Linked DNA regions of Rattus norvegicus. The main gene of each other region encodes a partner of the protein of the gene in region 3 in a complex. Links are inferred from orthologs where the notes say so. Each region holds a gene or a part of one and is shown on either strand. Other genes may lie near its edges.

The links.
Region 1: the proteins of Ap3d1 (region 3) and Ap3b1 are in contact, whole or in part, in a cryo-EM structure (PDB 9C5C), measured with the Homo sapiens proteins. The link is inferred for Rattus norvegicus from reciprocal best matches to the Homo sapiens genes AP3D1 and AP3B1. Residues at the interface, in NP_003929.4 of Homo sapiens: Lys352, Leu442, Ile446, Ser471, Tyr483, Trp487, Glu491, His517, Ala520, Val521, Gln524, Asn525, Lys528, Val561, Gln562, Ser563, Ala564, Leu566, Glu567, Gln569, Glu570, Arg571, Ser573, Cys574, Gln577, Leu578, His581, Ile582, Leu585, Lys588; in NP_003655.3 of Homo sapiens: Asn75, Lys466, Lys467, Gln470, Val494, Ala497, Ser498, Trp501, Leu531, Leu534, Gln535, Asn538, Lys542, Asn567, Tyr568, Asp569, Asp572, Arg573, Arg575, Phe576, Ile577, Gln579, Leu580, Lys586, Gly588, Ala589, Leu590, Ser591, Tyr593, Lys596.
Region 2: the proteins of Ap3d1 (region 3) and Ap3m1 are in contact, whole or in part, in a cryo-EM structure (PDB 9C5C), measured with the Homo sapiens proteins. The link is inferred for Rattus norvegicus from reciprocal best matches to the Homo sapiens genes AP3D1 and AP3M1. Residues at the interface, in NP_003929.4 of Homo sapiens: Lys29, Glu388, Gly389, Thr390, Thr391, Arg393, Glu429, Arg432; in NP_001307192.1 of Homo sapiens: Ser25, Ser27, Asp30, Tyr31, Glu34, Pro52, Asp104.

Annotation. Positions count from the first base shown.
Region 1 is NC_086020.1:27,330,621-27,340,795, forward strand, and holds the start of Ap3b1 (AP-3 complex subunit beta-1), read left to right. Parts: upstream 1-4,337; 5' UTR 4,338-4,409; coding exon of another isoform or gene 4,410-4,537; intron 4,538-10,175. UniProt on the Homo sapiens protein: Subunit of non-clathrin- and clathrin-associated adaptor protein complex 3 (AP-3) that plays a role in protein sorting in the late-Golgi/trans-Golgi network (TGN) and/or endosomes.
Region 2 is NC_086033.1:3,292,240-3,302,339, reverse strand, and holds the start of Ap3m1 (AP-3 complex subunit mu-1), read right to left. Parts: upstream 6,123-10,100; 5' UTR 6,096-6,122; exon of another isoform or gene 5,851-6,095; intron 1-5,850. UniProt on the Homo sapiens protein: Part of the AP-3 complex, an adaptor-related complex which is not clathrin-associated. The complex is associated with the Golgi region as well as more peripheral structures.
Region 3 is NC_086025.1:9,617,057-9,627,001, reverse strand, and holds the start of Ap3d1 (AP-3 complex subunit delta-1), read right to left. Parts: upstream 6,008-9,945; 5' UTR 5,772-6,007; coding exon 5,676-5,771; intron 1-5,675. UniProt on the Homo sapiens protein: Part of the AP-3 complex, an adaptor-related complex which is not clathrin-associated. The complex is associated with the Golgi region as well as more peripheral structures.

The DNA.
Region 1 (10,175 bases), on a different chromosome or scaffold from region 3:
TAGGTTGCTGACTAGATAAAAAAGCCTCATCTAGGGGTTGGGGATTTAGCTCAGTGGTAGAGCACTTGCCTAGCAAGTGCAAGGCCCTGGGTTTGGTCCTCAGCTCCAAAAAAAAAAAAAAAAAAAAAAAAAAAAAAAAAAAAAAGCCTCATCTATTAATAAAGAGAACTAAGGCTAGACAGAATGTAAAATGGAGTAGGATTATTACAGTGGGAAAGAGCGAGCTAACCCAGGGATGCATTTCGAATATACCAGGGATAATTGGTGGTGATTCATAAGTGTTTGGAGAAGGAGGTCAGGTCTAGGAATAGAAGTCTAGCTGGAGAACGGAATTCCTGCTGATGGCAGACAGATGACCACCACACCAAGGGAGGGAGGGATCAACTTTGATTAGATATGGAGGGTGGAATATTCTTGCTAAAAATAACTTTACAAAGAACTGAGATAGATGTAGGTCCAGCAGAAGTCAGAAGGCTGCAAAGTTTGGTCAAGAAAAGAATCTTTTTCATTAACAAAATAAAATAATATGTCGATATTTAAAGCAAGGTAACTCTGTGTGGCATATGAGAGACAAAGGGGATGGATAAAGAGACCTAAGAGAATACAAAGAGGAAAAAAATAAGGTATAGGGCTGGAGAGGTGACTCTGATTAGGAGCACTAGGTGCCCTTCCAGAGGCCCCCGGTTCTGTTCCCAGCAGCTACATGGTAGCTCACAACTGTCTGTAGCTCCAGTTCCAGGAGATCTGACACCCTCAGACATACACAGATGCAGGTAGAGCACTATGCCCATAAAGTAGCTAAACAAATCTTTAAAAAGACATAAGATGACATTGATTTTAATTTGCATTAGGAGAAACACACACACATATTGTGCTTGGAGAACAAGTTCAATACATACAAACGTTTTTCTTTTTTTGATACAGGGTCTTGATATGTAGTTCCAGCTGTCCTTGCATGCACTGTTATATAACACAGACCTTGAACTCACAGAGATCTGCCTGCCTCTGCCTCCCAAGTGCTGGGAGTAAAGGTGTGGGCCACCAAGCCCAGCATCCAAATTTATCATATATTAGCATGATGGTTTAGATGAAAAAAAATGGAAATCAGAATATTACATGAAGGTTTTGGTGAGTATTGCAGAAAAATCATGGAAAAATAACCTTGTATTTTTGAAAAAAGTATTTATTTCAACACACACACACACACACACACACACACAATGTACATGAGGGTAGGAAAGAAATCTGGCTTAGGTTTGGTAATAGATTTGATTCTTTGGTTCTTTCTCAAGTGTTTCTTCTGGACAGTTAGCATTTATAATTTTTTATTAGAAAGCTTTAGGGCTATATAAAAGTTTTAAATTCTGGAGGAGTGGAAGATTAGACTTCTGCATAGGGAGTTAAAATTTTACTCTTTCTGTACAGATAGACAATCTTATAATTAGGGAGGTCTAGGTCTCTCCTTGTCCACTTCCTCATGTTTTCAGAATGTGCTGGCTGGTTTTATGTCAGCTTGACACAAGCTCGGGCCACTGGAGAGGAGGGAACCTCAATTGGAGACATGTCTCATGTTGTGGTGACTGCCCCTCCCCCCATCAAATCATTTTTGTTGCTACTTCCTGAATTTTGTTACTGTTATGAATCGTAATGTAAATTTCTGATAAGCAACACCTGAAGGGATTGTGATCCACAGGTGGAGAACAGCTGCTGTATGGGGCATTTTCTTTCTTTTTTTTTTTTTCTCTTTTCTTTTTTTTTCGGAGCTGGGGACCGAACCCAGGGCCTTGCGCTTGCTAGGCAAGCACTCTACCACTGAGCTAAATCCCCAACCCCTGGGCATTTTCTTACTTAGTGATTGATGTGGGCCTACCCCACCATGGATGGTGCCATCCCTGGCTGGTGGTCTTGGGTTCCATTAGAAAGCCGACAGCGGGGGCTGGAGAGATGGCTCAGTGGTTAAGAGCACTGACTACTCTTTCAAAGGTCCTGAGTTCAAATCCCAGCAACCACATGGTGGCTCACAACCAACTGTAATGGAATCTGATGCTCTCTTCTGGGGTGTGTCTGAAGACAGCTACAGTGTACTCATAAATAATAAATAAATTAATTAAAAAAAAAAAGCAAGCAGACAGCGCAAGCAATGGAGCAAGCCAGTAAGCAGCACCCATTCACTGCCATGCATCAGCTCCTGCTTCCAGGATCCTGTGAGTTCCTGTCCTGACTTCCTTTAATGATGGACAGCATGAGGAAGTGTAAGCCAAATAAATAAACCCTTCCCTCCCCAACTTGCTTTGGTCATGGTGTTTCATTACAGCAACAGAAACAGAGAAGGAGAATTTTATGTTTTTCCAAAGGACATAGGCTTTATATCTTTATAAAATATTCCAGGAAGGAGGAAAAAAATAAATTACCCAATACTGTTTCTTTTTCTTGAGAAACATAACAGCTTTGACAGCCCGTCCCATTCCAAGGACAAGCTAAACAGAATAAAGCAAGACTTCCCCCACAACTTTCCAAAGCACAGGTCAACTGTTTACACGAGTCTGTATGAAAACGAAACAAAACAACAACCAGTGAAAATCCAGCAGCTTGTTAAAGAAAGAGAGACTTGAGAATGAGTCCTTTTCAAGTGGGGTGTGCTGGTGCACCGCAGACTTGGCAGCTTAAGGCAGGAGGATTGCAGGTTCCAGGCCAGGCAGGGCTACAGAGTGAGACCCTGTCTCTAAAAACATAATAAACCTTTTTCATAAGAAAATGAACTATTCGAGATAAATTGGATTAACAGGTTTGTGTGCAATTCTAAGACAATAAAAAGCACCTGGGGAGGGGGAAACACATGAAAGATAACCATATTCATTATCGACATGAACATATAAATTAATTATAATACAAGTATCTATATGACATTTATGACAAAATTATGAGAATGTGAGGAAATCCCTCTCATTCATAAATGTTAGGAAAGCAATTTAGAATATCTAATAAAGGTGTATATATTCTAAAATTAAAAAATTATATACTCAGGTCTATTTTGTAGTGAGGATGTGTACAGCATTGCCATTACTTGACAGATAAAGTAAGCAAGTCCTAGTGTCTTTCCGTAGTAAACGAATTAATTCATGCACACCACTTAGAATAGTGTATGGGGTATAAGTTAAGCATCATATAACATCATATAACACCTCATCACCGTCGATCAGTCGTAGGAGAGATTCCACCAATATCATCTATACCGGGAAGCAATGTATTTGAGATGCTCTAACACACATGTTATCTGGACAGGTTCATTGAAAGGTTAACTAACTGCCAACATTTGATCAGTTTGGAGGCTCCTCTCCCTCCTGGCACTAGGGAGGATCATGTTTTCAGAAAGACGACGCGATATTTCAGTCAGGTAGAGAAATATTGGTGGGACCCGGGTTGGTGTTTGCCGGGTGCTACCATTGGGTTTTGGTGATTGTCTGTCGGGCTCCAGGTATTCAGTCCTTTCTGGACCGTAGGTGTAGGGAATGAGGAACGAAGGAACCATAGTCACCAGGGAGGCCGGCTGGTGAGGCTCCTCTTAGAAAGCTGCCCGGGGCAGGAGGGCTGCAGCTACCGCGACCACAAACCATCCCACCTAGCTGCTTAGGGGATGTTGGAAAGTTATTTGCCAAAGAGTGGGAGCAGGTGGCTCCCAGAGGCGAGCGCACTCCGGCACCTCGCCGAGGCGCTCGGGGCAGCTGACTGCGGGCAGGACGCACGCCTAGAACTCCAAGTGAGAACCTCAAGCCCCAGGAATACTTAGCCAAAGCTTGCCCGTGGATGATCGCCTCGGTGCAGAGCCTGCAAGCCTTCCCGGGAGGAGGAGCTTTCAAGTCTAGAACGTCAGTGGTCTGGCCACGCTGGCTAAGAGAGGGGCGGGAACCTGCCCTAAAGGTTGAGAACTCGTGACCACCGAAGCTAAATTCGTCTGGCGTGTGCTCGGTGTTTCAGGAGGATTCCGGGAGCGATCAGCGGACAACAGAAGTGAAGCAAAGAACCTTGAAGGGTCTGAGATCTCCTCCAGCAAAACGCATCCAAGGGCCTCAAATCCAGTACTTTACTTGCCCACTACCCTCCGGCAAACTCGGTGCAAAAACCACAGCTTCCTGTTAAGGGTCTCGGGTGCAGCTTCCCGGCGGCCTCTAACACCCGGAGCGCGAGAATCCAGCGCTCCCGGAGCGGCAGGCGCCGGCCCGCGCGGACTCAGTGCGCACGCGCAGGGGGTGGGCCGCCCGGCCGGCTGGAGCGGTGACGAGCCCGGAAGCGCCGGCGCGCGCCCCCTCCGCACCAGAACTAGTTTTGTTCGGTGTCCTCGGAACGCCAGCCACCCGGAGAGAACCCCGCAAGCTCCCGCCCGCACCCGCCCGCTGGCCGGCACCGCCGCAATGTCTAGCAACAGTTTCGCCTACAACGAGCAGTCCGGAGGAGGGGAGGCGGCGGAGCTGGGGCAGGAGGCCACCTCGACCATCTCTTCCTCGGGCGCCTTCGGCCTCTTCAGCAGCGATTGGAAGAAGTGAGGACCCGGGCTCGGGGTGCGGGAGCGCTGCGGGGACGCTAGGCGGCCACCCGGCTGCTCTCGGTTCCGGAGGAACCTCCCTGCGGTCCCCGCTGCAGTGGGTGGGTGGGTGGGGTAGCCCCGCCGGCTGCGGGGCTTGTTCGGAACGTCTGGGGACGCCAAAGGCGACGCCGGTGGTTTTCAAACTTTGGTGGGGGAAAGGAAAACCGGTTGTTGAGCTGAGGTTCCACTTCCCAAACCGTTGACAGAGTTGATCTGGGCTGAGCACAGGAGCTTGAATTTTGAACTAGTGAATCAAACTAGTGGACAGGATCAGACCTCGAGAAAGTCATTTATTTAAAGGTGACGAGAGTATTTGGGGAAGGGGGTTGAGAGTGGGCCTGCTGCTTATTTGGACCCTGCAATATAAGGACTAAGAGGTGGGGTTCTCTATGAATGACAGCTTTGTTTTTTTAAAACCCTTTGGCGTTTTCTTACACCGTGATCTTTGCACCAGAGTACTCTTTCCCCCGCCCTCTAAGGCATTGAGATAATATTTAAATAGAGTGTTGCTGTGAACCAAACCTAATTCTAGTTATTTACAAATAGTATGAATTTTAAAAATAATCACTAACCACTTTTGTAAACAGTTACTTAGGGTTCACAGCAAATACCGCCCAGAATTGAAAACATCCTTAGCGGATTCAGTTTTAGTTTAGTTTTTTTGTGGGGTGGGGTGGGGTGGGCTTTGCTTTGTCGTGGTTCCTCCCCACCCCTTGCTTTCTGACAGGGTCTCACTATGTAACCTTGGCTGATCTGGAACTCACTAGGTAGAGCAGGCTGGCCTGAAAAATCAGAGAAATCCTCCTGTCTCTGCTACCCCAGTGCACAAACCACCATGCCATTTTATGTTTTTCTTATTTTTGATCTCTTATTGTTACATAGTGCAGGAAAACATAATAAACCGTCACTTAAGGTAAGGAAACTGGACTGATAGTCTTGTGGGTGTTAAGGGGTATAATTAAAATAAGAATTTGTGGATTAGACAGCTCAGGCTGGTCCCCAACTGGAACTTGCCATTCTCCTGTGTCTGCCTCCCAGGTGCTAATAGTTGAAATTGAGGTGAAAATTCGACTCTATTGACTAACATCTTGCATAAAGCATATAAATTATTTGTGTTCATTATTTCCAGGATATGAATGTTTAAAACATGATTGCTGTAAATCTGTCTTTGTGTGCATTTGTGTGACTGACTGATCCAACAAGGCGTTTATTATAACTACATTTCCCTCAGTAGAAGGTTTCAGTAGTTGAATTTGCATGTGACTTGTGTACACTTAGTCTACTTTTCTAATCTCTAAGCATCTAAGGTGTTTTTTCTTTCCGGCTATGTAAAATTTGGGAAGAATGCATGCCTCACAGCTGAAGTTAGGGTTGAAGTAAAATGAGCGAACCTTGAGTGCTTGTGCATGGACACTCATAATTAACATCTTCAGTGTGTTTCTGCATGCCGGGGCCTTGCCTAGGCCAGTGCTCTGCCACCAAGCTACATCCCTAGTCCTCAGTCTTTAGTGGGCTGTTCCTAGTACTTCCATGATTCCACTTTAAGGGTGAGGAAACGGGAGTCTAGTTGGTTAATTTGCCCAAGGTCACGAAGCTGTCAAATTTGAACCTAGACATTATAATCTCAGTTCTTTCTTTTTTTTTTTTTTTTTTTTCAGTTCTTTCTTTAATGTGTTTGCGTATGCTATTAACTCCTTGAAATCAATGCTATTTTTTCTTTTCTTTTCTTTTTTTTTCCGGAGCTGGGGACCGAACCCAGGGCCTTGTGCTTGCTAGGCAAGCGCTCTACCACTGAGCTAAATCCCCAACCCTGTTGTTTTTTTTTTTTTTTTTTTTTTTTTTTTTTAATTAGGGAATGCATACAGCTCACCAAAAGTTTAAAGTTTTGCATAGTAGCCATAGATCCTATATGACTTCTGGCTTTCAGGAACTGAAACATTTTGGCTACTGAGCTGCAGTTTAATGGAGTCAGTCGTGTAGAAAGCAACAGACTCCTATTCTGGAAGTGGCCACCTAGTCTCTCCTGAGCTCTCATTAAAAACATTTGTCTTTCAAAATAGGATCTCACTATGTAGCTCAGGCTGGCCTCAAACTTGTAATCCTTCTGCCTTAGATTCTTGAATGCTTGGATTTCTGGGTGTGACCTATCACACCTGGACATTTTGCTCCACTTTTTAATGGATTACTTTGTAATAGCTTCTTTTCCTTTTGTCTTTGACTTTAAAATCATTTCAGTTTTTATGCCCCCAGCATTTGTCAGGAGAACCACTCTATGTAAAGTCACTGGTTATCATTTTAGATTTTACTTTTTCACTTGCGTTGGTGTGTGGGTTTGTGTGGTACCCTCGGAGGCCAGAAGAAGGCCTGGAACTGGTGTTAACAGGCATACGGTGCTGGAACTGAAACTGGGGTCTTCTGAAGATCAGTGTGGACTCTCAGCCGCTGAGCTCTCTCTCCAGTCTGGAGCCACAGTCAAAACAGTCACTGTGCTCCCCTGCCCCTCCTGTCTCCTTCCCTCTTCTCTCTGCCTTACCCCTTTCCTTTCACATTCACACACACACTTCTCTACACACATGTCACATGCATTGTTGTCTTCTGAACCGTGGAGATTATGTTTAGATCGTGCCCTTTACCCTTAAAACCTTAGTATCTGTTTTTGGTAATAAAAACAGTCCCTTAAGTCGTCAGATATGATCAAGGAGTTAACACTGGTACAGGAGATATCGTGCTAGTCAACAGGCCTTTGCTGGAGTCCCATCATCTTTGGGTTTGAGTTTCCGACACTGATTTGAGCACAGTGTCGTAATGTGTCATCTGTTGTGCCTAGAGACACAAGGTACCCAATCTTCCTAAGTTTCCCAGTTAAGGGCTTTTCTGGTAGCTTGATTTCTATTTTTACCCCCTTCCCCAATCTGGGTTTCTTGGGAGATAGCTCGAGACCATTTGGCTAGCTTTTACATTAAAGTCTTCAGCAGCCAGCCATGAAGTTTTTGTTATAGAGATGGGCCTCTGTGTGTGTGCAGGTAAGTGTAGGTGATTAAGGAGGGCAGCAGAGGGCAGCAGATGCCCTAGGGTTGGAGTAGGCGTGGCTGTGATGTGGATTGGTAGCCTAAGATACAGTCTCCTGAACCTGCCTGCTGCTGTGGCTGAGTGGGGTGCCCTGCTCCCTGTGTCCTCTGCCGTGCACTCTCTCGTTGTGTGTTCTTTAGTACTTCACTGACTGTTCCAAATACGTCTAATCTCTTCCTGATCAGTCACTGATTTTTGTTCTCAGACTCTATTTGAAATTTTGTAACCCTTCTCATCCTTCAAACAAAACCAGAACGGGAAGCTTACATTGCCTATGAATGCATATCCCCCTCAGCATATAGCTTTTGTGAATCATCCCAGTGCATTACTTTACTGGCCTTACAATGTTCTTCACTTTTAAATGTAAAGAGCTAACTTCTGCCCCCTGGCCCCCGCCGCTTTATTTTGGAATAGTCTATATTTCCATTGCTTTTAGTTATCACCTAAGTCATTTGTCTTTATTTTTCAAAAAAAAAAAAGAAAAAAGAAAAAAAAAAGAAAAAGAACCTTCCTTACCTTAGTCCATTTGGGTGTATATATAAAGAAATAATTTCAATTTCTTCTGGCTTACCATCTAATTGCAAAGTAGTTTCTAGATGAAGGGTAAGACTAGTCAATTTTCTGATTTTCTTCTGAATTTCTAAGTGTCTTTTTATGTATCTCATTAAAAAAATTAGAGCAATCATTTAAAACAATTTTATTGCCACGCAGTAATTTTATATATGTGTGTGTGTATATGTATATACATATATATATACACATATACATATACATATATATATTTATGGTGTTCATGGTGGCATTTCAACATGTGTATACATTACAAACTGATCAAACCAGGGTAAATTAGCAATTCTGTCTCCTTATTTTTTTTGTGTACAGCCTTTGGCTCCTTTCTTGTTTCTCACAACTGTGAAGTAGTTCATTGAGGATTATAACTGGCTTACTGTACTATGGCAGTGTCTTAGTTACTGTTCTGTTGCTGTAAGGAGACACCATGACCAAGGCAACTTTTGTAAAAGAAAGCGTTTAACTGGGAGTTTGCTTCAGTTTCAGAGTGTTAGTCCATGATCATCCTGGTATACACAGGCCTGACACTGGAGCAGTCATTGAGAACATCCCATCCTGATCTGCAGGTAGCAGGCAGAGGGAGCAAGACTGGTCCTGGTGTGGGCTTTTGAAACCCTAGAGCCAGTCCCAGAAGCATATCTTCTCCAGCAAAACCACACCTTCTCTAACAAGCACACACCCGATCCTTCCCAAACAGTTTCACGAAGTGGGACCAAGCATTGCACATACGAGCCTATGGGAGCCATTCTCATTCAGACCATCACAGGGGACTAGAACTCCTTTCATCTAACTAGTTTGGTAGTCATCCAGCTCCTCTCTTTTCCCCTCTCAGTTCAACAGAAACATACGAGTGATTGCAAATGTGTGATGCTGGTTATGCTGGAGCACAGGGTTTCCCAAGTCTCCCCTTCCTAGAGAGCATTGTGCTATTAGAGAGTCACAGGAGGCAGAAGGTTTAAGTTAATGCTTTCCAGTGATAGCAGCTCAGCTATCACTCTTGCTCAGCTTGGTTGAGTTCTTCACATTTCCGTTTCCTTGTTTCTAGAAAGGCGTGGTAATACTTGCCTGTTCTGGGAGATTTTTTGTAAGACAGCGTATTTAAAGGAGAGCTCTCATCTTCCCTCTCCCCTTTCTCTTTCTCTCCTTCCTCTTTCCTTCTTTCCCTTCCCTGTCCATTCTTCCTGTCTGTCTGTCTAGAGCTATGATCTCCTATTGTTCAGGCTGGCCCGGAACTCACTGTGTAGACAGATTAGCAGTCCTTTTCCCTCAGCCCCTCTGTAGTCCTGGGATGACAAGCATGAGTCACTGTGTGCAGAAGAGGGTGAGTTTTCTTTCTTTCTTTCTTTTTTTTTTTTTTTTTGGTTCTTTTTTTTCAGAGCTAGGGACCGAACGAGGGTGAGTTTTCTAACCTAGAATCAAAACTAGGAAAACGTGCCAGAGTGCCACTGAAGTGCTGGTGCTGCAGCCTGAGGTCTGAGGAGCCTTGCCACACGGGTGAAAGAGGGAGCTTATTTAGGGCCAGAGAGCTGCAGGAAAGGACCCACATCCGAATGAAAGCAAGGTGGGCCTCCATGTTCTCAGCAGCAGCTAGGGAAGCTTGGGGGTGGTTGAACCACCCAGGCAGACTGTTAGAAGATGGGCAGTGCACATAAAACCCATTTGCCTCTGAATAGAAGACTCTGGAAAGAGTGCAGGGGGTAAATGGAATGGAGGCCGCAGCGGGCCCTTGCATGTAATAATTAAAGATTAGCAACCAGGAATTCAGCAATCCGTCCCTACTGACTGAATTACATTGAAAGGTGAAAGGTTTAGCCCTCTGCTGATGTTGGAGTGGATTTGTTACTTTAGATTCAAAGAGCATTTTTAGAGACTACCTGAGGGCTGCCTGTTTTCTCTGTTTCCCTGAAATGGGAGTTAGATTACGTGCGTTATCATTACATGCATTACCAGCTTT
Region 2 (10,100 bases), on a different chromosome or scaffold from region 3:
ACCATCCACAGGAGTAGTTGGCTAACACAAGGATGACTCTGTGTATGTGTGAATGTATGTATACACATTCTGTTTTGTTTTGTTTTGTTTTTTTTGTCCTACTGTGTTTTTTATTTGATTTTCTTTCTTCCTTTTCATTTTTAAGGGGAGAGAACATGAAGTTGGAAAGGTAGGGAGGAGGGAAGGACCTGGGTAGGGGAAGGAGAAAGAATATAATAAAAATATATTAAATGAAAAAATATCATTGTCACATTGCCTTGACATAAAAACCAAAGGCAATGTAAATAATAGCAGATTAATATTACTTAAGAACTCAGATGGAAAAGTTCTTAATTCTAGAAAACTAAATTCAGCAACTATTTTTTAAAAAATACAGTTAATTCCAAGAATGCAAGTTTATTTAACACAAGATAGTTAATCAGTATAATATACAATATATGCCAGTTAGTTCTGTTAACTTGACACAATCTAGGTAAATCTGGAAGAGAAAGTCTAATTGAGGAATTCTCTCCATTAGACTGTTCTGTGGGCATATCTGTTGGTCATTTTCTTGATAAATGATAAATATAGGAGGACCCAGCCCATGGTGGGTGGTATAAGCCCTAGGCATGTGGTCCTGGGTGGTGTGAGAAGCTGAGCAAGCCACTAAGCAGCATTCCTCTGTTCCTCCATGGTTCCTGCCTCTGCATTTTCTTTATTTCCTGACCTGACTTCCCTCAATGGATAACTATGATTAGGACGGTTAAGCCAAATACACCCTTTCTTCAAAAGTTGCTTTTGGCCATGGCATTTATCATACTGACATCTGGTCATGATATCACTATCGATAGATATTATAGTCAATGTGCTGTTCTGGCTTGATTTATGAGGAGAGTTGGAGGGTATGCTCCGCATAGAAACCAAAACATGCTCTTGTTTTTATGATGAGAAAGTTTAATTGATTAGGGTAGAAAAAAAAAAAAGAATTGACACAGGTTATCTCAAAACACTAGGCCCCTGGAATGCAGTGGCACTCCATTATCACAACCCTCTCTAAGACAGTTGCTTGTTTTGACTGGTTTCTTTATTTTAGAGCTAGATTTCCACTCACTTTCTTAAGCCGGTGAAAAAGTCTTTCCAGGAAAGTTTCCACCAAAGTTGTTTTTATTGGCAGTCGTTCACGTTTCAGAATGCTGTGTAGTCAAACCAGTCAGTGGATTTACTGTTGCTATCCTTTGTGCTGAGATGAGAGCATAACACTTCCAGCACTCAACAGCACTTGGCTTTAAAACCTAGTTTAACCTCCAATAATATTATCCATATTATGACCAACTGCCTAATGTATATAAGAAGCAACGCCCCATGAAGCAGAATAAATTATCCTATTTCTTTAGCCACTTATGCTTTTGATAGCTGCAGTTATGTTGTTCCTTACTTTATTGAATTCTCTTAGAAAACTACACAGGGACAACCACCACAAACTGTGTGGGGTGTGTGTGTGTAATTTCCGAATTGCAAATCACACCGATCCGAGTTTTGATTGTAGTGTAATTGCTTCATGGATCCTCTTTATGTGTGAATTCTTCCTGACAATTACAATAGTCAAAATATCCTTGGAAGTCAAGTATGTCTTTTTCTTTTTAGATAGTCTTACATTGCTAAATTCATGGCCTTAGGCTATCCCTTACCACAGCATCTTAAGTAACAGGGACTACAGTCATTCACCACACCCAAGTTTCCTTCAGCACAGAGCATAAAGGAGGCACAGGATGGGGTAGATTGAGTTAATGCAAGAGCATTCTCACAGCAGGCTCAGCAGAAGCATGTGTGACAGTCCTTTAGTCTTCGTCATCCTGACTAGCCGCTATACTAAACTAGACTAAACACCTCCTAGCAAGGTGTTTACAGGAGCCTTGCTTGTTCCTTGACCCAGAACTGATCTTATTCTGCATGTAAATAAAGTGGTATAAAAGCAGATAGGAAAATAAAACACATGCTTCAGCCTCAAAACTGGCTGGAGTCATGTTAAATGTTGTCTGATGGTCTTTTTTTCTTTCTAATCCTCACTGCTGCCCTGGAGAGCCTGCTGGCTTGGTCAGAACGGCTGATCTATACAGTGAGAGAATGGGAGATGGGGAGATGATCAGGTCAGTAAAGAGCCTGCCGTGTAAGTGTGAGGACCTGGATCCCCAGCACCTTAGCAAAACAGGAGGTGGTGGTTCCTTTCTGTAACTCTAATGGTGGAGTAGGGGTGGGACACTGGGGAGTGGTGACAGGCTTTCTGGCTAGCTATTCTAGCTAGTCGGTGAGCCTCAGGTTCAGTGAGACTGCCTCAGGAAACAAGATGAAGAACCACAGAGGAAGTCACCCAACTTAAAACTCTGATCCACACACAAATGGGGACCTCTGCAGTTTCATGCACCAACACGTGCGCGCGCACGCGCGCGCGCGCACACACACACTGTCACTCAACACACATACAAATATGAAACGATACCCCAAGAAGAATTTTGCTCCTCTGATTCTCAACCAAAATCAATCATTTTTTTCCCCATTCAATGAATTGTTCTATATATTTTATATATTAGATATTTGGGGATATGATGATGAATTAAACATTTCTATGCTTTTATCTAGTTGCAAATACAAATACAGTAAGAAGCAATTCCTATGACAGGAGAAAGAGAGAGAACTACTGGAATCATCAAGGTTTACAGATACAAAAAGAAAACATGAAAGAAATCAAAAACAAATTTTACAACTCTTAAGGTTGAAGAAATGCTGGAAGAAAGGTAACGAAATGACAACAGTCACTGGTCATGGGGCAAGGCCTGCCTTATTTATTGTTCTCTGTAATCACAGGTAACTTAATGTTTTATTATTTTGAGGGAAAATATGTAAATCCGATTTACATTTTTAGAGAGATTATACTAATTACACTATGGAAACTGGATAAGACTGCACCAAAGTATGTGACACCAGTTAAGAGGCGAGTGATGGATCAGAGCTGGAGAGATGGCTTGGCAGGTTAGGACAAAGCTTGACGCCCTCTTCTGGCCTTTTCAGGCACTGCCCTCTTTGGAGCCTGGACTGAAGGTTAACAAGAGAATGGAGTAAAATGGACAATGAGATTTAGACAGGCTTTGAGAAATAATGTATTTAAGTCTGTGTGTGCACAGAAATAAGATGAAAGCTGAAACAGTTTGACATACATACATAATTTGACTCAATTCCTAATACATATGACTCAAATTCAATCACTGTATTCAGGTCTAGTGGTATGTTGTTAATGGGAATTATAAAGAATTACATTCAAAGAGATTATGAACACAGCAAGAAACATTTATGAAAGAAAAGCCAGTATTTGCGGAGCAGATGCGTCAAGGAAGTGGAACTAGACAGACAGACAGACCCTAAGATGGAAGTGAAGCAGGGTTTTTAAGATGGGGAAGGACGTGGGAGATTTTTAGTATCTTTCTACAAGAATGCTACAAAGAAGTCAAGCTGTGAGGATTTAAAAAGATGAACACAAGTGTTCTGTTTTATTTTTTGTTTTTTTTTTCCAGATTGGAGATGGCTCACTGGTTAAGAGCATGTTAAACATGCTCCTACAGAAGACCCAGATTCTGCTGGGCTTGGTGTTGAAGCTTCAAGGGAAGAGGCAGGGGGATATCTGTGAGTTCCAGGCCAGCTTGGTTTACAAAGCAAATTCCAGGACAGCCAGAGTGGTCACACAGAGAAACCTTGTTTTGAAAAACCAAACAACAACAAAAACACCAAACAAAACACCCCCCCTCCCAGACAACTCCCCCCTTCCCCGAACCCAACCAACCCAGATTCAATCATAGCACCTACATCAGGCAGATCATAACTCTAGCTCCAGGGATCTACTGCCCTTTGTTTCCATAGGCACGGCAGTCATGTATACACACTCACATACAAACACATACAATAATACAAATAAACCCCAAATAATACAAAAAATAATAAAAATAAGTCTCAAAAAAGGTTTTACAATTTTCCTTTCTTTTATTTTTTTTTTCCAAGACAGAGTTTCTCTGTGTAACCTTGGCTGTCCTGGAAATCATTCTGACGACCAGGCTGGCCTCCAACTCACGAGTTTGCTTGCTTCTGCCACTCAAGTGCTGGGATTAAAGGTATATGCCATGATTTCTGGCTACCAGTGATCTTTTAAATTTCCAGTCTTTCCCCCCTCGGCCAGTCATATTGTTCCCTACAGATTGTTTGATAAGTCTTTTTTCCTATAATTTAAATGTGTATTATGTGTATTTGCTGTGGGTTTGTGAATGTTTAAAGTGCAGACCCGTGAAGGCCAGGAGTGGCTGGTGGATCTCCTGAAGCTGGAGATACAGGGGGTGGGATTAAAACCATGCACTGCTTCAGCAGAGGAACAGAGTTCAGTTCCCAGCACCCACCTCAGGCAGGTCAGAACCCAATACTTTCTGGATGTAGTTTTGTATGTACTTCTGTGAGTATATGCCATGTGCGTGCAGGGACCTGCAGAGGCCAGAAGAGTACACCACATTCCCTGGAGTTATAGGCTGTTAAGAGCCACCCAATGTGGGTAATGGGACCTGAACTTGGGTTCTCTGTAAGGACAGCAAGTGCTCTTAGCTACTAAGCCATCTCTACCCCATCATCTCCCACCCGAGGTCACACAAATTAGAAAAAAAAAAAGTAACATATGCCTATTTAAAGTACATCTATGACTTAGGCATTAAAGAAGGGTTTAACTTTTGTTGCTTCGCAAGTAGGTTTTTTTTTTTTTAAAGTTTTTATTTTATTTGTAAGGGTGCTCTATCTGCATGTCTATCTGTGCATTGTGTGCGCAGTGCCCAGAAAAGCCAGAAGAGGAAGTAGGATCCCCGTGGCATTGGAACTACAGACAGTTGTTAGTCACTGAGTGAGGGCTGGGACTTGAACCTGGGTCCTCCAAAAGTGCACCTAGTGCTCTTAACTGGCAAGCCATCTCTCCAGCTCCAAGACTTGTTTTTTTTTTTTTTTTGAAATCCATACCAAGAATATATGGTTGTCGTATTGGATGTCAAATGGACATCGGCGATCTTGGCTAAAGTAATTTTGGTGATAACTCAGTAGGATGTTGGCAACGACATTGCAGTATGGTTCTTAGCTAGAAGCAGCAAGTAGGAAAAGGAGGCTGAAATGGCTCATCAAAAAAAAAAAAAAAAAAAAAAGTGTCTGCTATCAAGCCTAAGGACCTGAGTTTGATCCCTAAGATCCTCATAGTGGAAGGAGAGAATTGTAGCCCAGGAGTTGTCCTCTAACTTCTACTACATGTGTTTTGTGGCATGCCACACAATACAACAAACAAGTAAATGCAAAAATAAAGTTTAAAAGACAGAAGGCACTGAGAAACAGAAGGTAATAGCAGTGGGAAGGTAAAGGTCCTGTCCTCTCTAAAAACAAAGGGGGCACATTTTCTTTTTTCAATACAAAGGAAGGAGATTTATATATTTGCTTGCAGAAAATTCCTTTCTTCTGTGTAATGTATTTCCAAGCCAAAATCTCAAATAAATGCTGAAAAAAAAAAAAAAAAGCTTTTCGAGTGACCCGACTTCTCAACCAGGAAGTTAAAGCTTCAGTACTAAACAAATCCATGACATCCACTCATCCACTCATCACGCTTCCATACTCCAAGCCGCCTTTTCCGTTTACAGCCCTGTCACCTGTCTCGTGAGAAGCTGCTACACCCTTCTCACAGTCTCCCCATCCCAGGCTAGCTCGTCCAGGCACCACCCTATAAAGAAAGCGTTCTCTTAGCGTCATCGGGGGATTTGCCCTCCACGGCCAAACCTGGGGGCTGACAAGTTCAAGTCGTCGGTACCCCACCTCACTGTAGATGTCATTTCTCGCGCCTGGAGTCCAGGGTCCGAGAACCCTACGTGGCAGGTGCACCGCTCCCTTCCGGCCCAGCTGACTAGGAAGCCCGGGTGTGAGGGGGAAGGCGCGGCCCTGGTGCACAGCAGCAGGGACACTCCTGGAGCCCCAGAGAGAGTCCCGAGCCGGAGCTATGCAGTCTGTTCCCCGGCTTTTGAGATGTCTCCAACCCGGAGACTCCCCGCCCTCACACTCACCCCGACACCTGGGCGAGTCAGTGATTCGGTGCCGGGTCCTCTCTGAACCGAAGCTGAAGCAGCAGAGAAAGCCGCGAGGACCCCGCGCTTGGAGTGCCCAACACACTGCCTGACTAGCAGCCTCCGAGGCGCCGAGGAGGTCAGCGGGACTAGAAAGAAACAACGAGCGGAAAGGCGTTCAGCGAGAGGCACGGTGTCTCCGGAGGTTGAGGCTCTGAATCTTCCACATTACTCAGGGTCTGGAGGAACAGGGAGATTGGCACTCCCTGAGCGCAGGCGCTCACCCGCAGCCTAACTGCGTTTTGGGTCCCTTACCGTAGTAAATGAGGTCCTGGAGGGACGGGACTTCAGACGCGCGTAGAGCCAATGGTGACAGACCAGAGTCACGGATTGGGCGGAGTTCAGGGAGGCGGGGCTTAGTGGAAAGGGGGCGGGGACGAGCAGAGGGGCGGGGCCACCGGGCTGAGGGGCGGGACGCGCGGCAGAGCCAAACCGCGGTGAGAGTGCGAAGATGGCAGCTGCGGACGAGCCGAAGCCCAAGAAGCTCAAGGTGGAAGCGCCAGAAGCGCTGAGGTGAGAGCAACCCTGCGTGGGGGAGGAGGGAGAAGGCACTTGCAGCGAGCCAAGGCCCACGTGGGCTGGCGCAGCCGGATGGTGACTGCGTTCGTGGGGCCAACCCGCAGGACCTGCAGCTCGGGGAGTTGCCCGCGTGGCTGCTGTTCCCCTCAGTGCCCTCTGGTTCTGGACTCTGCTCAGGTGCATACTCGGCCCTGGCAGCCATTGACCAATCAGAGCACCTGGTCCGGGGGCTGAGTCTTCCTCTGGCGCCACGTGCGAGCCTTCGCGGGCCGCGCTAGCGCGACCCTAAAGGACCTATTTGGAGCTGCATCCTTTCCTAGGGTATTTAGCGGGAAGGCGCCCGGCGCCTCCTGGACCCTGGTAAAAGATAACATTCTTGGAATTTTTTCAGTAGGCGTTGCAGAGCGTTTTGACCTTTTCTGTCAGCTCTCTGAAATTATCTTTGGAGACCCCCTCGCCCCAGGGACCCCCAATTCACCTCAGAGGCTTTGCTAGGGTAGCATTTGGCTAATTGGTTAGAAAAGTTCTTGTTTGTTTTTCTTTTTTTTCCCTTTGCATATTTGATAGGAATGGAGAGCTCTCCCAATACCTGACGCACATGTAATTGGTGTTGCGACTTTCACTTATAAAAAGCCGTTTGTTAAAAAGAAATTTCTTCCTAATAAGTATAAAGTCCGGCGCGTTCAGTGTCTGATGACTTTGAAGTGTTCATTGGAAGGCAGTGATTTTGCTACTAAAAATAGACGCATCAAACTGATTTAAAACCGTGGGGGCTCTTACTGATTATACAAAACAAATTCCATTTATTTCAACATCTCTTTATCATGTTCAAAAAGAGAGTTTATTCACAACATTTATTCACAACTGAAAAGAAAAGGTTAGTTGGGGGTCCCAAATCATGTTCTTGGTTGGAATGGTGATGACCAAATCCCTTTTAGTGGCTTTACTGTATGCCTATTATTCTTAGGTCATTGTGCATGTCTAATACTACAAACGTAAAACATGAGAAACAAAACCAACTGAGGATGTTTTATTTTAAATTTTAGATTATCTGGGCCGGTGGGATGGCTCAGCAGATAAAGGCATTTGCTGCCCAGTTGGATGACCTGAGTTCAGTCAGACTCCAGGACCCACATGGTGGACGGAGTGAACCTATTCTTCTGTTGCTCTCTGGCCCCTCCCCACTAAATAAAACAGATACTGTCTCCTTAGATTTTTCTTTTAATAAAAGTAAGAGTTTGTATATGATCCCTTTTAACAGTGCTTACCATCTGAAGTAATGGTATAAAAGCCTCTATGAAAGAAAGGCAGGGATTAATCAAATTTTATAGGTGCGGAAGCTCAAATAAAACATTTAAGGAAGGAAAATTTGAACTCAGGGCATGAGGTTCAGGCTTATTATTTTGTTCTAGTGTGTTTGCACAACATCCAAGACATGCTTTGGTTTCTCTTTAAATGATCCATGGTAATGTTTACTACTTAGATATGTATATGCCAGTCTCATTCTACATATTTTAACTCAATGCCATAACAACCTGGTAAGAACATTTCTATAATTATCTCAATTTTACCAAAAATGGAACAGCCACATATCTGTCTATTTAAAATTGTAAATAATTTAGTCAAATAAAGTTCACTTCCCAGAATGCTAACCTACTGCTTTCTGCAGAGGCGAAGTTCAAAGATTAGTCGTTTTGACTATGGGGACACAGCTCTTTAATGCTATGCAGAGAACTTTGAGTCGACTGTTCCTCCTTTTATTAGTTTACCTTTCATGAAGGATAGCTGAATGAGAGTGCATTTGGACTGGATTACTCTTATGATTTTCCTGGCAGTTAAGAGATTTCTACCAATTTTGTTTAACTGTTAATACATTTTGTTTAACAGCTTATAAATTGTGAGTGCAGTTTAATTATAGATTCCGTGGAGGACAAGTCAATTAATAAAAGTATTTATAGAGGTTTGGAAGAGAATTTAGGAATTTGGGAGTTGTCAGTTATCTTTAGGGAAATAGTTCTTTCTATTTATGTGTGTGTGTGTTTGTGTGAATGTGCATCACTTGTGTGCCAGAAGAGGGCTTTGGATGCCCTGGATCTAGACTTAAAGAGAGCCGAGAGCCATCTGATGTGGGTGCTGGGAACCAAATTCAGCTCTTCTGGAAGAGCAGTTTGCTCTTAACCATTGAGCCATCCATCCTTCCAGCCTAGGAAGTGATTCTTAACTAGAGGGAATTTTATCTTAGAAGGAACATTGAGTAAAGTTTAAAGATGCTGCCAGAGAGCTAGTGAGATGGCTCAGAGAGGAAGAGTGCTTGCTGCCGAGAACCTAATGAGCTGGGTCAATCCAGAGCCAGGACCCATGTGGTGGCTTGAATAGGAATGGCCCATAATGAGTGGTGCTGTTAGGAGGTATGACTTTGTTGGAGTGGGTGTGGCTTTGTTGCAGGAAATGTGTCACTATTTGGGGCGGGCTTTCAGGACTTATATGCTCAAACTAGGCATAGTGCCGTAGTATTCTCCTGTCACTTATGGATGAAGACTAGAACTCTCAGCTCCTTCTCCAGCACCATTCCAGTCTGCCGGCCACCATGCTTTCCACCATGATGATAATGAACTAAACCTCCAAAAGCCAGGCCCAATTAAATGTTTCCCTTTGTAAGAGTTGCCATAGACACGGTGTCTCTTCACAGCAATGAAACCCTAACTAAGACAGGCCATTTGCACTCGGTACAAACAACTAAATGTAATTTAAAACAAGCAACAAGCTGCCTTGGTGGCCCATGTCTTTAATCCCAGCAGTCTGGAGGCAGAGGCAGGCTCCGGTCCCTTTGTAAATCATATCTGACAGCTATCGAGATTTCCTTGTTTTGTTCCCCTATCATGTTGCTCCCACTAATGTATAAAGGTGCTTCTGGGCATCTTAACAGTACAGAAGACATCCCTCTATGCTGGAGATTGTCAGTATTGTTAAGAGTGAAAAACTGCTTGGTGGGGGGATCTGACAAGATTTCTGCCTTATTCTTTACTGTTGCTAAGGTTTCAAAGAGTCAGATTGTAACATGTTTTCAGTTGGACTTTGAGGAGAAAGAAACTGAGTATCAGACATTTACACAAGGACTACTCAAGTTTCTTTTCTCTCCTTTGGAATCCTATCCAAGCTCACTGCTTCAGCGGTCACCTCTAAGAAGACACAGTACCTTCCAAGTAGTGTTGAACGCATGCCCAGTTTGTTCTTTCTGTCTGTCAAGTATGTGCTATTTTAAGCGTAGTGCTAGGAACTGGGGATGGAGAGAAAGGAAAAGGTAAGATCCAGGTGCTAGTCTCCTTCTAACAAAGTGGAACTTGTGAAAGATGAGACCTGAGCATTATTCAGCTGACTAGAGGTTAACCAGGTGGGAAGCAAGGCATGTGCCTTTACAGGGAAATT
Region 3 (9,945 bases):
GAGGATGTCTCTGAGTTCAAGGCCAGCCTAGGCTATATAGTCTGAGTTCCTGTCTCTAAAAGTAATGAAAAACAATCCTGACCCCCTGTGTTTGATCCCTTGGAAGAAGATAGTGGAAGAAAAAGGAAAAACACAACAAAAAACCCAGGGCAGACACACTTCCTCAGGAGCCCAAGGCAGCCCCTGGACAGCCCAGTGCCTGCTCATGACTGTGCTACACCTCAGACCTTGGCCTTTCCAAACATGGCTGCCACTGTGTAGTTTTAAGCTGGCTTTAATGTGGAACATTCTGCCTAGGCCTTCTTACGAGCTTGAGCCTCATGCCAGCTGGCTTTGTGAAAGATGGCTGTTTTATCTGGCTGATAAGAAGGCAGTAGCCAGACATGGAGAAGCCAAGTAGTAACCCAAATGGCCCAGCTGGTACTTCCCGATTGAGGGCAAAAATCCTGGGTCTCTAGGTGAACCTGGCAAGGGTGTTATAAGACATGAAAAGACCTCAAGTGCCTGCATGGATGAGGACGGAACCAGCACGCCTGTGAGCAGGTGTGGCAGGAGGGCTGGCAAGCAGGGGCTCACATTCTGGGAGACAGGCACACATTGGTGGCAGGTAAAGAGACACACAGGAACTGGCCCATGTGCACATATCCCCACAGGGCGGGGGCCTTATGAGCCTCACTGGGCTACAGTCTAATTGTGACAAGGCTAGTGTCCTGAGGTTCCAGGGAGCACCCCATCCTGCTTGCCCCAACATCCAGAAGCCTCATCCTTAGTTCCTGGCTCCTTCTTCCCCTAGACACACAGCAGCAGTCTCCCTGGCTCCACCTCTTCCCCTTCCAGCTTCCCTAGAGGACCTGATGGTGAGAATGGGTCCAGGTGATCCAGACGATGGCTGCCCAGCTCAGGGTCCTCAGTGTGACCCCCGTCTGCATAGTCCCTTCTGCCACTTAAGGACACAAGTCCACAGGTCTCACAATTAGCACATGGGTACCTCTGGTGAACAAAAGTCACTTCACATCACCCAAAGTCAAAGCAAGAATGAGCCAGGGGCTGGGGATCGTATGGCTGTAGCAGAGAAACCAGAAGAAGCTAAAGACAGGTAAGTCAATGTGGATGTCTGGGGAACCTGGAAAATGCGGGGAATTCTGGAGACTAAATGGAGCCAGTCCCAGTCTGGACTCAGAGAGCAGGACAGGGAGACTAACACCCAATAGAAAAAGGAGCTGAAGCCTCTGCATAGGCAAGTAAGTAGAGCAGAGAGAACAGGATCTAAGAAGTTGAGGCAGGAGGATCTTGAGTTCAAAGGCCAGCCTGAGCAACTTTGCCTAACCCTCAAAGTGAAAAGTAAAAAGAGGGTTGGAGTGGGACTCAGGGGTGCAGCCCCTGCCCAGAACCCCCCAATGAGGGGGTGAGGGTAGGAGGTGGCTCAGGGGCAAAGAATATACCTAAAATTGGTACAGACCAGCCAGTACAAAAAGGCCAACCTGGGCAACACAGCATGACTGTCTAAAAGCAAAAAATTAAAATAAAAAATAACAGGGGCTGGGGATTTAGCTCAGTGGTAGAGCGCTTACCTAGGAAGCGCAAGGCCCTGGGTTCGGTCCCCAGCTCCGAAAAAAAGAACCAAAAAAAAAAAAAAAAAAAAAATAAGAGAGCACAAGTCATTTGTGCTGAGCACAGGATAAGCAGGGCAAAGAATGGTCATGGCAAAGGACACAAGCAGCCTGGGGTACGGGTTAGGTCGCCTCAGGTCCCAAGCCCCAGGGACAGCTGGGAGCTCCCAGCCTCTCAAAGAGCCTGGCTAGTACTTCACAAGCAGGAGTCCAACCCAGAAAGGAGACCTGCCGCTCACCCTGAGACAGAGCTGCATATGCCTGAGCTTTAACTGGGAAAATCTCGTTGGTGACTAGACAGAAGCAAGATAGATCTGGTGGTAGCAAGTCCAGCAAGCCCAGGCTATGAGGCTGAATGAAGCATGGTCCCTGGCTAGCACACAATGGTGGTCTCTGGCACACAAGTCACAGATGAGTGGAGTCAGTCTACCTCCTTCCTGAGCAAGGGTAAATACAAGTCTGACAGACCCACCTGGGATGTTACCATCAGTTCTTAATGAGATGCCATTTCTGGTTGAAAGTCCCTAGAAACGTCAACGAGCCAGGCAGTAGAGAAGTACCAACATGGGAAAGGAGTGTCCCCTGGGAATCTCTAACTCCTACCTCTTACAGACACTGCCACTGGAACAAGTAGTCTCCATCTGACCCTTGGAGCTACCCATCAAAGGGAATCAGCTAAAATCCTCATGATTTTAAAATCCACGGCAGAGTTTCAGGAACAACTAGGCTGGGCTGATCACACCACACAGGAGCTGCTGCCAGGATACCCTACAGGTCAAGATGCCTGGGTAAACACAATCAGGTTCCTGAAGACCTGGCAGAGGGCAGAGGCACTAGGGGTGCCCCCTGCAGCACAGATACAGTGTTTTGCTTTCAGTCTTTAGCTTTCTGCAAGGTACCTAACAGACATGGGGTCTCATGCCTGCTACGTAAACACTCATGGAAGCTGTGGCTTTGGAGCGGGGGAAGGGGAGTGGGAAGGATACTTTGGTGGGACAAGACAGAGCGATGGTACAGCAGTTAACAGCGCTTGCTGCTCTTGCAGAGGACCTAAATTGGGTTCACAGCACCCATGTCCAGTGGTTCACAACACCTCTAACTCCAGCTCCAGGAGATCCAAAGACCTCATCTGGTTCTGCAGATGCCTCTACACAAGACAGACAGATACACATATACACAAAAGGGAAAGAAAAAAAATTATATATATATATATATACATATATATATATATATATATATATATATGTATATTACCCGGCTGGAGAGATGGCTCAGTGGTTAAGAGCACTGACTGTTCTTCCAGAGATCCTGAGTTCAAATCCCAGCAACCACATGGTGGCTCACAACCATCTGTAATGGGATGCCATTTTCCGGTGTGTCCAAAGAGAGCAACAAACAGTGTACTCACATACATAAGATAAATAAATAAGTATTAAAATAGACACACAGACACACACAGACACACAGACACACACACACACACACACACACGGATACATTAGTAAGACAAAAAATTCATTGGGCATGTTACTGTACACCAACAATCCAGCATTGGGGAAGTAGAGACAGGTGAGTGTGAGTTCAAGACCAGCCTAATCTAGAGTGAGTTGTTGCCCCCCCCCCCCGAAGTTAGAGTACAACCATCTCGAAAGGGCTGCAGAGATAGAGCAGACAAGGACTTGCTGCTCTTCTAGGGGACCCGGGTTTAATTCCCTGCATCCACTTGAGGCTCTCCATCCATAGCTATCGCCACCACACCTGGCAATAATTTTTTTTTTTTAAATACAAAGATCATCTCAGGCTACAGAGATGGATCAGTGGTTAAGAGCACTGTCTTCGGGCTGGAGAGATGGCTCAGCGGTTAAGAGCACCCGACTGCTCTTCCAGAGGTCATGAGTTCAATTCCCAGCAACCACATGGTGGCTCACAACCATCTGTAAAGAGATCTGGTGTATCTGAAGACAGCTACAGTGTACTCATATATAATAAATAAAATAAATATTTAAAAAAAAAAAAAAAAAAAGCACTGTCTTCTCTCCTGAGGTCCTGAGTTCAATTCCCAGCAACCACACAGTGGCTCACAGCCATCTGTAATGGGATGCAGTGATGCCCTCTTCTGGTGTCTGAGACAGTGACAGTGGATTCACATACATAAAATAAATAAATATTAAAAAAAATCATCTCAAGCTGGGCATGGTGGCATATGCCTTTGATGCCAGCACTCTAGAGGCAGGCAGATCTCTGTGAATTCAAAGCCAGCCTGGTCTACAGAGTGAGTTCCAGGATAGCCAGGGCTACACAGAGAAACCCTGTCTTGGTTAAAAAAAAACAAAAAACAAAAAACAAAAAAGATCACCTCAAAACAAAACTAAAACCCCACAAAACTTCCAAGTGCACATACCAGCATTTTAAGTACTTGTAAGGCAGAAGAGTTATAACCGCCAGGGTTATACAGTGAGACCTATGTCAACCAGAGTGTAGAGCAGAGAATGGTCACTGCATGACTTGTGCTACAAGCTTGGCCAGAAGGCAATGCACTACATCAGCACCTCCAAAGGAGAGTACCTGCAGTCCGCAATGAGCCGGATAACACGCACAGGAACTTAAAGATGGTCCCTGAGGAGGGACAGAGGACCCAAGCAACCTCAGACTGGCCAGCCATGTTGGTTGGGAGAGATGGTTCAGCTGTTAAAGGTAGACTCACAACCAAAATCTTAGCACCCAGCAGCAGAAGCCACATAGAACCTGAGGGCCTGGAGGGCTTTCTGTGCCCACCTAGTCTGCACTACTGAGCCTTGCATGTATGGCAGGGTAGGGAATATGAAGAGCAAAACACACACACCTCAAAATCAGTAATCCCGGCAGGAAGAAGGACAAGGCAGGAGTATCATGAGCTTCCAGCCAGCCCAGGCTATGTCCCTGGCTAGAGCTTGTTTCAGGTACTCAAATTAGAATGTGACCGGTCTCAGGGTCCCAAGACAGCTCCCTGGGGACACTGACAAGAGGGAAACCTGGAGGCCCTCGAGAGCACAGAGGGCCACAGAAGAGTACAAAGGAAATTTCACATAGGGCAGTCCATGCACAGGCCAACCACACACTGGCCAACCAGCTATTTCACCTGAAGTAACAGCCAGGGAGAGCAGGGAGGGTACAAACCAGACCAGGTAGGGTAGAAGGGAGAGGGCTACAGAGGGCTGACTGTCCCAGCCAGGGGCCTGCTTCCTGACCTCACATAGCAAGCAGGGGCCAGCAGGTACCTGTCACGGACACCCTCTTTCAGCATGGCCTTCCTGCCCCGGAGGAAGCCTGTCTTTCCACTGAGCCAGGCACTGGGCAGCCACTCTATCACTTCTTCCTTAATCTAGGTCACAGACTGTGGGGAGGAAAGGAAGTAATGCTCGTGGTCACAGCCTAACTTCTGGAAAAAAAATTGCTTCCACACCCTGACTTTTGCCTTTTTTGAGCTTCCAGTTTTAAAGTCAGGCTTCTCCATTCCAACACGCCCCTAGGTCCTGCAAACACTGATAGTTCAGGGGATCTGAGGCAGGGACACCTGGCAAGTTCCCAAGTAAGCCCAAGACAGCAACCTGGACCTATGTCCCCGGACAAGGGAATTTCTCCATGGGAGACACGTAGACCTATGACTTGATTTTTCTGTGAGGGTCCCGATTCCTCCATATGTGATCCAGAAACAAGCCCAAGTGGGAGAACCTTTGCCTAAGTAAATCTTCTCCAAGAAGGTAAACTCAGGCTCAAGCAGTGCACCCAACTGTAAGGCCTAAGACGCTTAGGTCTTATGACAGCGACTGCTCCAAGTGGACATTTGGGAGGCTCCGGGAGTGGACCCTAGTTATAACAGACGAGGCACCTGAGCCGTTTTGGACAGCATCCATTTCAAGCTGGTGGGGGTAAACAGAGGCCAGGGGAAGGAGAGGTTGTGCAGAGCCGCAGCTCCTAAACAGGCAGGGCCGGAATGGCGATGGGGTCGAGGAGGCTGCTCCAAGGCGGGCCAGAGGCTATAGGCTGTGGGGAAAAGCCGGGCAACCCCACTCCGCGCCGGCTCACCTCGTCCTCCTTGTGGTTGCGGATGCCGCGGACCAGATCCTGCAGGTTCTTGTCGAACATGCGGTCGATACTGCCCTTGACCATCTTGAGGGCCATCGCGGCGGCCCGTGGGCTGTGGCCTCCGAGGGGAACGCCGCCGCCGCGGCCCTGGGAGGTGCGGGGACCCGGCGACCGCACCTCAGGCGACCGCCCCGCTGCGTTTCCGGCCGCCGCGGAGAGGACGACGTGGAGGCCAGAGCGACGGCTGTGGCCGGAGACCAGTCTGAGGAGAAGGGGCAGCGAGTTAGCCCCCGCTTCCGCAGACCCTTCCCTGCTCAGGGCCACCCGCAAATGGCGGCCAAGATGGCGGTGGGTCAGCTGACGGAGAGCCTCGGCGTCCCGGAAGCCCCGCCTCACCAGAAAGCCCGACCCCACACATCAGTTTCCTTGACAACCATATACCGCCCAATAAGAAAGCAGACACCGCCCTTTGATGCCTGGCGGCCCACCCCTTCCTCTGCAGTGCCTTGCAACCTCATTGGTGAGCAAGCTCCCCACATACACGTTCTAACCACGCCCCTAAGGGAAAACCGCGAGCCAGCCTCCCCACTCAGCTAAATAACAGCAGTGGGCGTGGACAGGGTTGGAGTGGGCGTGGCTAGAGGAGGGCGGGGCTCCACGTGGAGCTTTTTCTGCAAGGTCCGGGTAAAGTATATCCAGCTCCTCCTTTTCTGAAGTGGTGACTTGGGAATTGGTGTCAAGAGTCAGTTACACCAGACCAGCAGTCTAACCGGCCGTCCTGTGCTATGTGAAACGCTGTCGGAAAAGACCAACACAAGGCTTGGATGGTGAACACCATGTAGGAGGAACTGTGGGGGGCAAGTGAGTTTTCCTGGAGATGGTCCACCGTTTTGGACAGCTGTGATGGGTGTTCCTGAAGAGGCACAGCCCCTGAGGCGGTCATCTCTAGATTACCTCTCGCTGCTGCTGTGCCGCCTCATGTTTGTCATTGCTATATGTCTCCTGTATCTACTACGATGTTAATGGGCATCTCTCCAGCCCTTAAATAGTTTTAAGATGTTAGGGTAGTTGATAGAAAGTTTAAAGAGATGGTTTAGGTTGTTTTGCCTTCTAGAAAGATATAATAGGGCTGGAGAGATGGCTCGGTGATTAAGAGCACTGACTGCTCTTCCAGAGGTCCTGAGTTCAAATCCCAGCAACCACATGGTGGCTCACAACATCTGTAATGAGATCTGATGCCTTCTTCTAGTGTGTCTGAAGACAGCTACAGTGTTCTCATATACATAAAATAAATAAAATTTAAAAAAAATCTCTGATGGCACTGGGTGTCAATTCCCAAGGATCTAGTGTCAATTCTCAGATCCTAATGGAGGCACAACTGTGTAACTGCAGTTCCAGGGGATCCAAGCACTTTTCTGGCTTCCACAGCCACGAGGAACGAATGGTGAATGTGAATATACATGCAGGCAAAACACACAAGAGAAAATAAATATATCCAAAGTAAAAATTTTAAGTAGTATTTTAGACATTTTAGCCAGGCAAAAGGACTGCTGAGGGCCCAGTCTGGCTGCCATGTGGAGTTTCAGGGCACAGTGCTCAGCAGAGAGACACTGTCTCAGTCAGGTGAGCATGTCAGTGTGGTGGCTAAGGAGGCCAAGGCAAGAGGATCGGAGACTGCGATCACACAAGATAAATAGACAAGATGAGAAAGGCTGGGGAAAAGGTTAACTTGTCGTCCTATCACTGAAGAAAGCGCAGGCAGGAGGATCAGAAGCTCAGGTTTTATCAGGCTGCAGTGTTGTTGTAACAATATAAAAAATAAAAGGCTCTAGGTCCAGCACCACAGTGCCCCAAGATAGCTGCTGGATATCTTTCAGTCAGCAAAGCGTCTTACCCGCTCTGCTCCACCCCATATAACACTGTCAAAGGCCTCTCTCTGAGCCTGGCAGTAATCTCTCTACCTATCTAGTTCCCAAGGCAGGTTTCCATGCCAGAAACACACATCCCAAGTCTGTGGCGGCCCAGACCAGCCGCCGCACACTTTCTTACACTTAAATCTACACAAGAAAGAACACACAATAACCTTTGGCCCAACTGATAAGATATAAATGCCCACCTAAAATTACCAAGCGCAATACACATCCATCCTTTAAAAACATTTGTGGGGTTGGGGACTTGGCTCAGTGGTAGAGCGCTTGCCTAGCAACCGCAAGGCCCTGGGTTCGGTCCCCAGCTCCAAAAAAGAAAAACATTTGTAACAACCTGTAAAGGTTCAGTGTGGAATCTTAACGTCACCTGCCATATTGTCTTGCCAAGGCTTCTCTCCCTCTCCCTCCTGACTCTTCCTCCTTTCCCTTCCAGTCTCCTCCTCTTCCTTCAAACTTTTCTCCCGCCCATCCTTCCTTCTCGTCCAATGACAGGCCTCCTTCTATCTTGTACCTACCTCACCTGTGACATCATCCCACACTGCAGAGTGAATTTAAGGCCTGAACTACAAGAGAGAGAGAAGCCCTGGCAGGACAATATGGCGGGTGACGTTAAGACTCCACGCTGCACCTTTACAGGTTGTTACGAATGTTCTTAAGGGATGGATGGTACTGGCTTTGTATGTTTAGGTGGGCAATTATATCTTATCAATTGGGTCAAAGATTTATTTTATTTATTTATTTATTTTTTGGTTCTTTTTTTCGGAGCTGGGGACCGAACCCAGGGCCTTGTGCTTCCTAGGCAAGCGCTCTACCACTGAGCTAAATCCCCAACCCCGGGTCAAAGATTTAAAAAAGAGAGAGAGAGGGCTGGAGAGACGGCTCAGTGGTTAAGAGAACTGGCTGTTCTTCCAGAGGTCCTGAGTTCAATTCCCAGCAACCACATGGTAGCTCACAACCATCTGTAATGGGATCCGATGCCCTCTTCTGGTGTGCATGAAGACAACAACAGTGTTCTTATATATAATAAGTGAATAAATCTTTAAAAAAAAGAGAGAGAGAGAGAGAGAAAGAGACTAAATTAATCTGCCCTGAGAGGCAGAGGCAAGAGGTCTCAACGGATTTAAGGCCAGCATACATAGTGGCTTAGGCCAGCATCAGCTTCCTAGAGACACACTGTGGAGTACAAAGTGTATGCCCGACAGGCAGGAGTTCTGAGTTCCACCCAAGTGAAGTGGAAACATCTTCAGATATGTCAGATGATGTCTTGCTATAGCAGACACGTGAAACGACACGTCATACAGGATTGTAAATCTGTGAAAGGACACGTCATAGAGGAATGTATTCTGACCCCACAGACAGTTGAGCTGGGGCAGTTGTTTCCTTTGCTCTGCCTCACTAGGCTTTGCTAACAACAGGCATGTATTGGTTTGCCTTACATAGTCGCTGAGTTCTGCTTGTGGTGATGCCAAGGAAATTCAAAGGACTCTCAGGAGGTTCCTGTGGTTTCTTGCAGCTTCTGTGGCCTCGGGCTGGTTGGGGAGCCTTACGGCTCCTTCTGGATTGAATCGAACTTGCTGGTTCACGTGTGGTGTCTGCTGAGGGAACTGGACAACAGCTGCTGATTCATATTTGGGGTTTTACTAGAGGACTGGACTGCTGATATCTTGACAACGAAGATTGGACTTGCTCCCAAAGAACTATTTCTAAGTAGTTCTCGATGAAGAGGCAGAGGAGCAGTTCAGGCCAGCCTGGGTTACTTGACACACCAAAACAAATGAAGAAAGCCATTTGGTAGAAGAGCCTTTGACAGACCAATCTGATAGCACTGAGAGTTCAGGAGTTAGCACATCCCTCAGTGTGGCCAGCAGGGGGCAGTGCTTACCAGGCACAGAGGTGGCAGGCGGCCTGAGCTGGTGGACCTGGCCAGAGATTCAAGGCTGTGTTATTAATCACATGGAATATCTTCACTTATTTATAAGCAGTCATTCTAAGTACCCATCAAAATCCACCTACCCTGATCTATCCATGCACCCATCCATGCACCCAACCATGTACCTACCTATCCATCCACCCAACCACCCACCCACCCATGCACCCATCCATGCACCCACCCATCCACCCACCCATGCACCATCCATTCATCCACCCACCCACCCCACCCATCCACCCATCCACTTCCCCAAATCCCCACCCATCCATCCATCCACTCAACAACATACTAAGAATCTACTGTATTCCAACTTTAGCAATGAACAAAGATCAAGGCGACATTCAGAGAAAGAAGAAATTCTGGGAAGAGCAGGCAGGCAGACATGGGAACAAAGTGAAGCTCAGAGAGGCTC